Daphnia pulex: one gene and its partner. The protein of the gene in region 2 purifies or fractionates together with the protein of the main gene of each other region. This does not show direct contact. Links are inferred from orthologs where the notes say so. Each region holds a gene or a part of one and is shown on either strand. Other genes may lie near its edges. The genes, in order: serine/threonine-protein phosphatase 4 catalytic subunit and protein phosphatase methylesterase 1-like.

The links.
Region 1: the proteins of protein phosphatase methylesterase 1-like (region 2) and serine/threonine-protein phosphatase 4 catalytic subunit purify together in Homo sapiens (affinity purification with mass spectrometry; 3 studies listed by BioGRID and IntAct, with this or other methods). This does not show direct contact. The link is inferred for Daphnia pulex from reciprocal best matches to the Homo sapiens genes PPME1 and PPP4C.

Annotation. Positions count from the first base shown.
Region 1 is NC_060025.1:1,447,585-1,451,864, forward strand, and holds serine/threonine-protein phosphatase 4 catalytic subunit, read right to left. Parts: upstream 2,989-4,280; 5' UTR 2,898-2,988; intron 2,512-2,897; 5' UTR 2,241-2,511; intron 2,108-2,240; 5' UTR 2,090-2,107; coding exon 1,940-2,089; intron 1,880-1,939; coding exon 1,727-1,879; intron 1,665-1,726; coding exon 1,491-1,664; intron 1,427-1,490; coding exon 1,300-1,426; intron 1,232-1,299; coding exon 1,039-1,231; intron 975-1,038; coding exon 845-974; 3' UTR 245-844; downstream 1-244. Other genes in the region: probable chitinase 10, read right to left, coding at 3,225-4,099, 4,165-4,280. UniProt on the Homo sapiens protein: Protein phosphatase that is involved in many processes such as microtubule organization at centrosomes, maturation of spliceosomal snRNPs, apoptosis, DNA repair, tumor necrosis factor (TNF)-alpha signaling, activation of c-Jun N-terminal kinase MAPK8, regulation of histone acetylation, DNA damage checkpoint signaling, NF-kappa-B activation and cell migration.
Region 2 is NC_060026.1:6,517,381-6,521,682, reverse strand, and holds protein phosphatase methylesterase 1-like, read right to left. Parts: upstream 3,022-4,302; 5' UTR 2,811-3,021; coding exon 2,734-2,810; intron 2,677-2,733; coding exon 2,478-2,676; intron 2,410-2,477; coding exon 2,054-2,409; intron 1,968-2,053; coding exon 1,902-1,967; intron 1,841-1,901; coding exon 1,651-1,840; intron 1,571-1,650; coding exon 1,393-1,570; coding exon of another isoform or gene 1,372-1,392; intron 1,310-1,371; coding exon 1,177-1,309; coding exon of another isoform or gene 1,173-1,176; intron 1,111-1,172; coding exon 1,092-1,110; 3' UTR 613-1,091; downstream 1-612. UniProt on the Homo sapiens protein: Demethylates proteins that have been reversibly carboxymethylated. Demethylates PPP2CB (in vitro) and PPP2CA. Binding to PPP2CA displaces the manganese ion and inactivates the enzyme.

The DNA of each region.
Region 1 (4,280 bases), on a different chromosome or scaffold from region 2:
ACAAAAGGGAAAGTTGATTAAACGTGGATTACCTTGTGATAGTACGTAACCTTATCACAAAACCGCACACGGTAGTCGAATGTCACAACGATATTACCTTATCAGCTGATTCATCACGCAATGTTGTTTCGGGACAGCGGTGATAATAAAAACGATCGTAAAAATGAATAGCCGTTATGACTCAATGTTGAGAAAGTAAACATCGAGCCTTGTTTTCGAAACTAATGCAGGTACACTAAACATGTTTTCGTCTCAAGTCCATCGTTATTTCAAGAAATTGTATACAGTGCATGTTGAGAGCCATCGCAAGCATCACATTCATAATAATATAAATGGGTGCAACACAAACAAAAAAAAAAAGATTTTGGAAGCATGGCCATTGCATCAATATTTAGCACTGATGTTAAAAAATAATTACACACGTCACACAATTCGCCCCCAACATACCATAACCGCACGTACACAAAGATATTGTTCATTAAACTGAGTAGTGGGAGTAGCTTATAGTCAGATGTGATATCCTGCAGCAAAAAGTTGAAAAGGGAAACTGAACACTTGTTTGGACGATCAAGATATATTTTTATTATAAAGGACAAGACTGTGTTTACCAAAAAAAAGGAAGGGATTGGACAGAACAGAATTTTCAAAAACCTATTTGTTAGTCCGGGCGGTCAAGGTAAATGGTCAACCAACATGATACAGGCTCTTTTGCTCTGTTTCAACTGATGGGGTATCTCACATCAGTTACTGTTTTTTTTTTGTGTTTTTTGTTTTATGCATTACCGAATAATTATTTTTGTAAAAAATCGCAGGGGATATATCAACGATCAACATTTCGCGTTTCTTATAGGAAATAATCGGCTTGAGGTTTTTTGGAAGGAATGCCACGAGTCTCTTGAGGGGCAGCTTCAAAAATCGTGAATTCTCGATGGAGATTTTCGTCCAATTCCAAAATGGCAGCTACATTTCCACACCTATTGCAATATTAAAAGTTTAAGTAATCATCTTGGTGAAATCTGGCGGGAAATTAAGACAAACCTATAGCAGTAGTTGGGGGCAGACCACACCGTCAGCACCGTTTCGTTAAAATGCCATTTGTAGCCTTCCATGACAAGCTGGTGTGCTCTGCAAATCATTTCGATGTCATTTGAGGTGTTGAAATGTTGCACAACATCGGAGCCAAAAAGATAACCGGCACCGCGTGGACTCACTCCCCATCCTTGCTGTGTATCTGTCAAAAGCAAACACCCAGAAATGAATTACCACTTTCAGAAGTATAGCCAATATTTATTTTCCTACCTTCAGGATCAGACCAAAGGAGATCACACATAGGTCCATCGTGAGGAACTTCCTGCTTTCTGTCAATTATTCGGATTTGATCCAGTGTCTGAATTGAAGGAGATAGCCCACCATGCACACAGAATATCTAAAATTTGAAAAACATGTCATGTTAGAGTTTTTATCAATGCATGTTACTACTGGAAGCATACTTTGCCGTCAATGATGGCTGAAAGACTCAGGTAGTCGAAAATTTCAGTACAATAGCGCCACACAGTGACTGAACCATACTTTCTAAAACATTCGTCATAGAAACCATAAACCTGGGTAATTTGACGTGATTCATGGTTCCCTCTAATCAAAGTGATGCGATCTGGATAACGAACCTAAGAAAGAAATCTCAAATCAGAAACAAGAGAAAGAAATGCTTAACAAAAATGTATACTACCTTTAAAGCTAATAGGAGAAGAAAGGTCTCTACACTGTAAAATCCTCGATCAACAAAATCTCCCATGAATAGATAATTTGTGTCTGGAACATCCCCACCCACTTTAAAAAGTTCTTTTAAATCATAAAACTGGCCATGGATATCACCACAAACCTAAAGCAAGCAAAAAATGTTAGTTATTGAGCAATAATCAAAAGCTTATGAGAAACCTACTGTGACAGGAGAGTCAACACGCTGAACATTGCTTTCTTCAACCAGAATCTCCCGTGCTTTGGCACACAAGGCTTTGACTTCTGATTCTTTAATGATATCACACCGTCTGAGTTGTTCGATCTGTCGATCCAAATCACTAAAGTCTGACATATTTACGTTGTCTGTTTCCTAGTTGACGAGAGGGAAATAAAGAATAACGACCTTGAGTATGTGCAACAGCCGACCGGTGATGTCATACACATTGACTTGGTAAATGAGGAAACTGACATTACACAGAACGAGAATAAGATAAAAGCTTTACCTCTTTGCGTTATTAATGAAATATGAGTGGTGATGGCGAAGAATGAATTCGTGACTGGATAAGTTGACGATCGAGAGTTAAGCCACGAATTGAATCCGTCCTCGTCGTTCTTCAAAGCTATCCTTACTTCCTTGGCTTGCCTTACGTTGCCGGACAAAAAAACTGGGCTTCAATCTAAACGCCATTAAATTATTCGGCGTTGCCAAGTTTCTCCGCAGTTTTAATTTCAAGCGCGCTTTTTATTCCTTTTTGTTGAAATATCGATATTGTTCTGAAAATGATTTACAAATATCTGGTAATATTATTAGTAAGAAAAAAAATTTACAAATAAAGATAACATCGCTAGCACGCTAGTAAAAAAAATATTTCGATACATTATTTATCAATTTTGAAATATTCTCTGACGTCAGTCGGCCTTCAGCCCGATGTTTGCTACCAAAACATGGTCACGATGGGTTTCGTTTATTCAAACGGGACCTTAACTAACGCTGACATTCAATTGATATTTTATTTCTCAGAATTCCTTTGGATTAAAAAAAATCGATTGCTTGAGACGGGCATGTTCAGGCTGATTTCTCATTTCTGATTCAGTCAAAACACAGATCTTCTGACGGTCGTTTACTTGTTTGCAATAAAGACTTTCATAATACAACCAACCTTGATTCAAGCCTTGGAAATCTGGTCTTTACAATGTAGCCGTTAACCCATTACTTATTTAAACACTTCCTGTTTCGACACTTGACAATGCCACTCGGCACTCGCTCAATCGACATTGGAGTTGTCAAATTTCTAATTCATTTTTAACGCAATTTTGCAACAAAAAAATAAGAGTTCTCTTGGCTTACTCAATGAGTATATCAATTAACAACATTTAATTATCACTCGTGTGTATTGCGGGCCGAATCAATCAGATTTTGAATATATAGTAATAAGATTTAAAATATTAGAAATGATTAAAAATTGTTAAATTTGAATTCTAACGTCCTAGATAACTAAATTAATTAAAATAAACCCGAAAGCCAAAAATGTAAGTTGCTGACTATTGCCAGCAATTCGGTGCCCATTGTTTGGTATGAATGGCGTTTTCGAACTCGTAGCCTGTGTCGACTCCGTCGTGACTCTTGGCCAAGTGGACAGTTTGGTAGTGGATGGACGGGGTGTTGTTGGCGTTGTTGTCGTTGTCTCACCCGTAGTCGTCGAGGTGCTGGCTGTAGTAGTCTTGGTGGTCGCCGCCGGTGAAGTCGTCGTAGTCGATGTCGTCACCCCAACAGTTCGTGAAATGTTGGTCATAATAGGATTGGGTCCATCACCACAAGTGTTCCTAAAGTCGTCGGTACTCATGTCCCAAACCATGGCTCCGCCTAGTCCCCTCTCCAGAACGTAGCGACTTTTGACATTGGCCATGACGGGATCGTCGTAACCAACCCAAGTCTTTGGCACGCTCGGAGTGGAAGCGTATGGACCGATTTGGAATGTCGGATCGACCACCACCTCCCAATTTTCGTTTTTCACATAATTACAGATTTCGTTGTATCCTAACGTTCCCGATTCACCGGTTAAAGGTCCTGCAGCTCCAGGTCCCAAACCGGGTGCCGGAAGCGTGGGATCCTCCGTGTAAGTATAATCGAGTGTCCAGGACTTTCCGTATAGGGGAATTCCCAGCATGAGTTTTGAGGACGGCATACCGCTATCTTTCCAGTACTGGACGACAGCATCGATATTGTTGGTTTCATCTGTATCCCAATCTCTTTTATAGAGCGGGGCGTGATGGTCAGTTAAAGGTTCCCATGGCCCGTGCATATCATAAGCCATAATGTTGATGTAATCAGCTGTCGTGGCCAACACAGGTATGTCGTATCCTAACGTTGAAAAAATGTATTAAAAAAACCTTTTTATTTCATATACACTATTGATTAATACTGACCGAGGTCGCTAATGGTTTTATTGACTCCCACAGCGATAGTGAGTGAATATTTCGGTGTCTGTAAATTAAATGCGGCTCGAAGTTCCTTCATTAATTCAGCAAGCCCAACTTTGTCG
Region 2 (4,302 bases):
TTTCTCTCCTGTCTCTTTTTGACTAATAACGCTTTCACTACATTTGGAGAAACGAAGCACGGCAAAAGCGACTTTCTTCCAAGGTAGATTATTTGTTGAAAAAGTTAAGCCCAATTTTATAGAAAAAACAGGTGAAATGCCATTTTCCCCTGTTTATGCAAAGCGAATTCATTAGTTGCAACCGGAAAAAAACCCAACATAAGGCCTTTCGACTTTTCTTGGCCACTTCAAACCGGTTTAAGACATGGAGCTCAGGGAAATCCGGTCGCTTTGCAGGCTATAACTGTTTTCTCAAAAAATTTGGTTTCCGCCTCTTAAAATGCCTGAAGCGCACCAAAGACAATCCATTTCAATAACATCCGTGTTGACGTATTAATTCAAATGCGTCAGTGACTAGTGAAGTTATTTCTAATAGAATTTTGAACTTGAAAACTTTTTTATTTATTTTCCTGTTCTGTATTTATGAAAACTTCGAACTGAATGGATGAAACTGATTCTAAAAAAAGTTAAAACTTTTAGATCTTGTGACGTATCAAACTTGTCTTCAATAAACAATAAGACCTTGTGACGTATCAATATTTGTTTCCATAAACAACGAAACAGCATCAGTAATTCAATTCGCCAACAAAGGGAATGTCCTTTTGGCCTTGACGAACTTTATTAATACGAATCACCACGTACGAAGAAAATACGAAAATTTAGATATCTTCAGGTGCAAAGGATAATTTCGCCTTCAATGTTAGCTTATCGACATCAAAGAACCGACACGCAATTTGTTGTCGACAAAGAACCGACACAAATTGTTATTGTCATTTGATTTTGACAAAGAAATTTGATGCGGCGGAGCATGACCCATTTTCTTTAGAATGCAGTTTTAAGTACGCCATTTTGAAGTAGGAAAAGTAAAACTGCTGAATAAATGTTACAAAACACTTTAAAATGAAAGTATGTAGAACAATGCATATGACGCAAAGAATATGACAATATGACCATAAAGTAAACACAAATATTCAGGACCCAGATTCTACTGTCGCATTATCGAACACAATACTCAATACTTCATTTGTTGTCGAACGTGATAAGTGGAAAATCTAACAAGCAGGCATCACCCTAGATTATATGTAAAATCTTTTAATTTATTTTTTATTTTAAAAAAGAAAATATATTTATTTTTACCAATTAAATTTCTCCTTTGGTGATGTCAAGCGATTTCTTACTAAAAATGTAGCAACCACTTCTGCAACCTTGTCTGGCACATCTTCGTGTACCGCGTGCCCACACTGAGGAAGCACTTGCATTTGGAACTTTCCTATTTAGGCCACAAACAAAAATTGACATTAAGACGAAAACGGATTTTAATATTTTTCAAACTATTATTTGAATTTGACTCGCCTTGCATCTGACCAACGGTTAGTTCTCGGTCGAGTCGGTCAATGCCGGCCAACAGCAGGAGCTTCGCAACAGGAATGGCTAAAAATGTAGCCGAGAGACCATGGAACCATCCCGGCCATTGGTGTTCAGTTTTTGTCAGATCAATACGCCAGTGATAGCCAGTCTTAGGACTAACGGCCTAAATACAAGGACGAGAAGTTTTTGCTTAAAATTTACTCTAAATGTGATGTAACTTGATAAATTATCCGAAAATCTTACTGGAGGGAAAAATGTAGGTTCTCTAGTTGAAGGAGAACTTTCAATTTTTTCATCTTCATCTTCTTCTGTTATACATTCACCATGTTTGAGCGCATTCGAAGTTTGTGTTGTAGCATCAAGTGGTGAAGAAGCGGTAGGAGTGGTGACTGTTTCTGGCACATCAGATGTAGCGCATTCTCCAGTCACGTCACTAGATGAATTGAAAATTTCGTTGAAGTTCTACATTTTCAAATACACAACTCAATGGATACCTCCGTAATTGACCAGGCATAGACACTCTAGCAGATTCACCGTTTCTAATCTGACCACTTCTGACACTATAAAAACACAACAAATGAAATTGTTATAATTAGAAAGTTTTTACAATCAAACTTATTCAATAGTATTTCAGTAACCTAAATACCTCCATTCAATGGCTTGTTCCAAGGAGAGAAACTGTTTGGGTTTTGATCTTAGAAAATTTTGCATAGAGGCTAGTGCTTCCATTGCTGTTCCCTCCACAACATCGATCACAATGAGCCCAGCAATCATTGGGAGCTGATCTGTAGCAGCAGCATGAACTGCAATTGCTCCTCCCATACTATGTCCAATAAGAACAATGGGAGGAGGGTCTGATCCAAAGACATGTTTGACCACTGATACAATATCATCAGCTTGGGTTTCTGCTGAAAGATTTTCATCATTGTGTGTCTTGCTGTCACCATGACCCCTCATGTCAATTGCAAGAATCTGACAGGAAACCAGCCCTTCAATGCATTCCTAATAAAACAGTGAATTAGAAACATACATCATAAAACATTAACATTATTTAGATAAGAATAAATTACAGCAAACAACGACCAGCTCAGAGCAGAAAATCCACCTCCATGAAGCAGAACAAGAAGAGGGCCAGAAGATCCTCTACGATAAACCTGAAATGAATCTCCATCTTCATTTACCACTATTTTTTCACGTGATGTAAAATAACGGCTCCAATGAATAGGGGTATAATCTTTCTTCTTTCCCATTCCACTAGGTCTTGAAAAGCTAAAAAATAAAATAAAAATATTGTTGTCTCAGATACAGTACCACAAACAATGGTACCTTTTGGATGAAGGAGGAGGGAGGCCCAAAGGAGCAATCAATTTACACCTTACTTTCTTCAAAGCACTTGCTTCCATTTTTAAGATCAAATGTTATTGTAAAAATTACCGACTAACCAGATTTCATTTCAGATTTTCTGTCAGGCAGTGCACACAGCAGCTGGCTGCTGGAATAATAGAATAATGTCGTCTGCAACTGTGATTTGCAACATAAATATATCGCTACGCATTAAATTAAATCAAGATCGATTGTCAGTAAGTTTTTAACTGAATGTTTATGAATGTTTATAAATTGAATGGAGGATTCTCGGCAGCTTCCATTAAATAAGTTTAATAAAAGAATTATTTTTGATTTCATAACATCCAAACCAAGCCCTTGTGGCCTAATGGATAAGGCGCCAGCCTCCTAAGTTGGAGATTGTGGGTTCGAGTCCCACCAAGGGTATCTTACCTTTTTGGTATTTCAAAAACCAAAAGCAATTTTAAATTATTCTTTTCTTTCTTTTTTCGCATCTACTATCTTCTTTTCCTTCTCTTCGCAGATTTTTCTATCATTTTCATATCGGAGAATTAAACGCATGAATTTATATTTTAACTTTTTTAGGGGCATTTAGTAGCAAATTCTGCCATATCCATTCTCATTGGTCGAACATCCTAGACATTTTATCGAATTGGTTCTATAGACATTTCTATGTCTCTACTCAACAGTTGAAAACACAGAACAAAATTTTTCCCATTTCCTAATAGATCGTACAAGGGGTTACCTAATACATACGTGTAGTTTTTCCCTGTCACACATACTTCTTTTTCTTTTCTTTTTATGGGCCTACCAAATAATAACGGGCAACGGGAAGTTGACAGTCACGCACTTTTTCGATGTAGTAACGGTTCAGTAGAGCAGGTCAAAGGTGACTTTAGATTTCCATAAAAAGTGAAAACACAACAGATTAGGTATGCTCCACGCTATTTGATTTTTCATTTAAAAACTTTGCCAAATTGTATCCGTAAGTTCACATTTCTTTCGTTTTGAACACTAAGACGACTTTGTTTATTAACTATAACTTACTATAATATCAGCTAACTCTATAACTTAATTACTAGTAGCGATGGGTCAAATAAAATTAACAACGAATGGAAATGTTTTGAAAAGATGGAATATATACAGGTAAGTACAAAATTTTTAATAGTACGGTGTAAAATTGAATTGAATATTTCCTCTCCTCGAGCACAGTACATTCAGACATTCTGTATTTAGCCAATATATTTTTTCGTTTTCCTTTTTTGTTCTTCTGTTTGTTATATTCTGCTTTTGTAAGAATTGCGCTCCACCTTTCTCCGGAAAAGCAATAGACGGTCCATGTGACATTTCACTTCCCATGTATTTTAGGTTTAGTTTTGACCTATATGATTCTTTCGAGAAAGAAAAATGAAAGTCTATAATTATTTGTATGTTGCTGAACAATGGACATTCATCCAGTCTCATCCAGTGTGCCATGTTTAAAGCAGAGATGGTAGAGATACTATATGGAGCCGTTTCAAAATCAATAGAAAGTAAAATACAGTACAACAA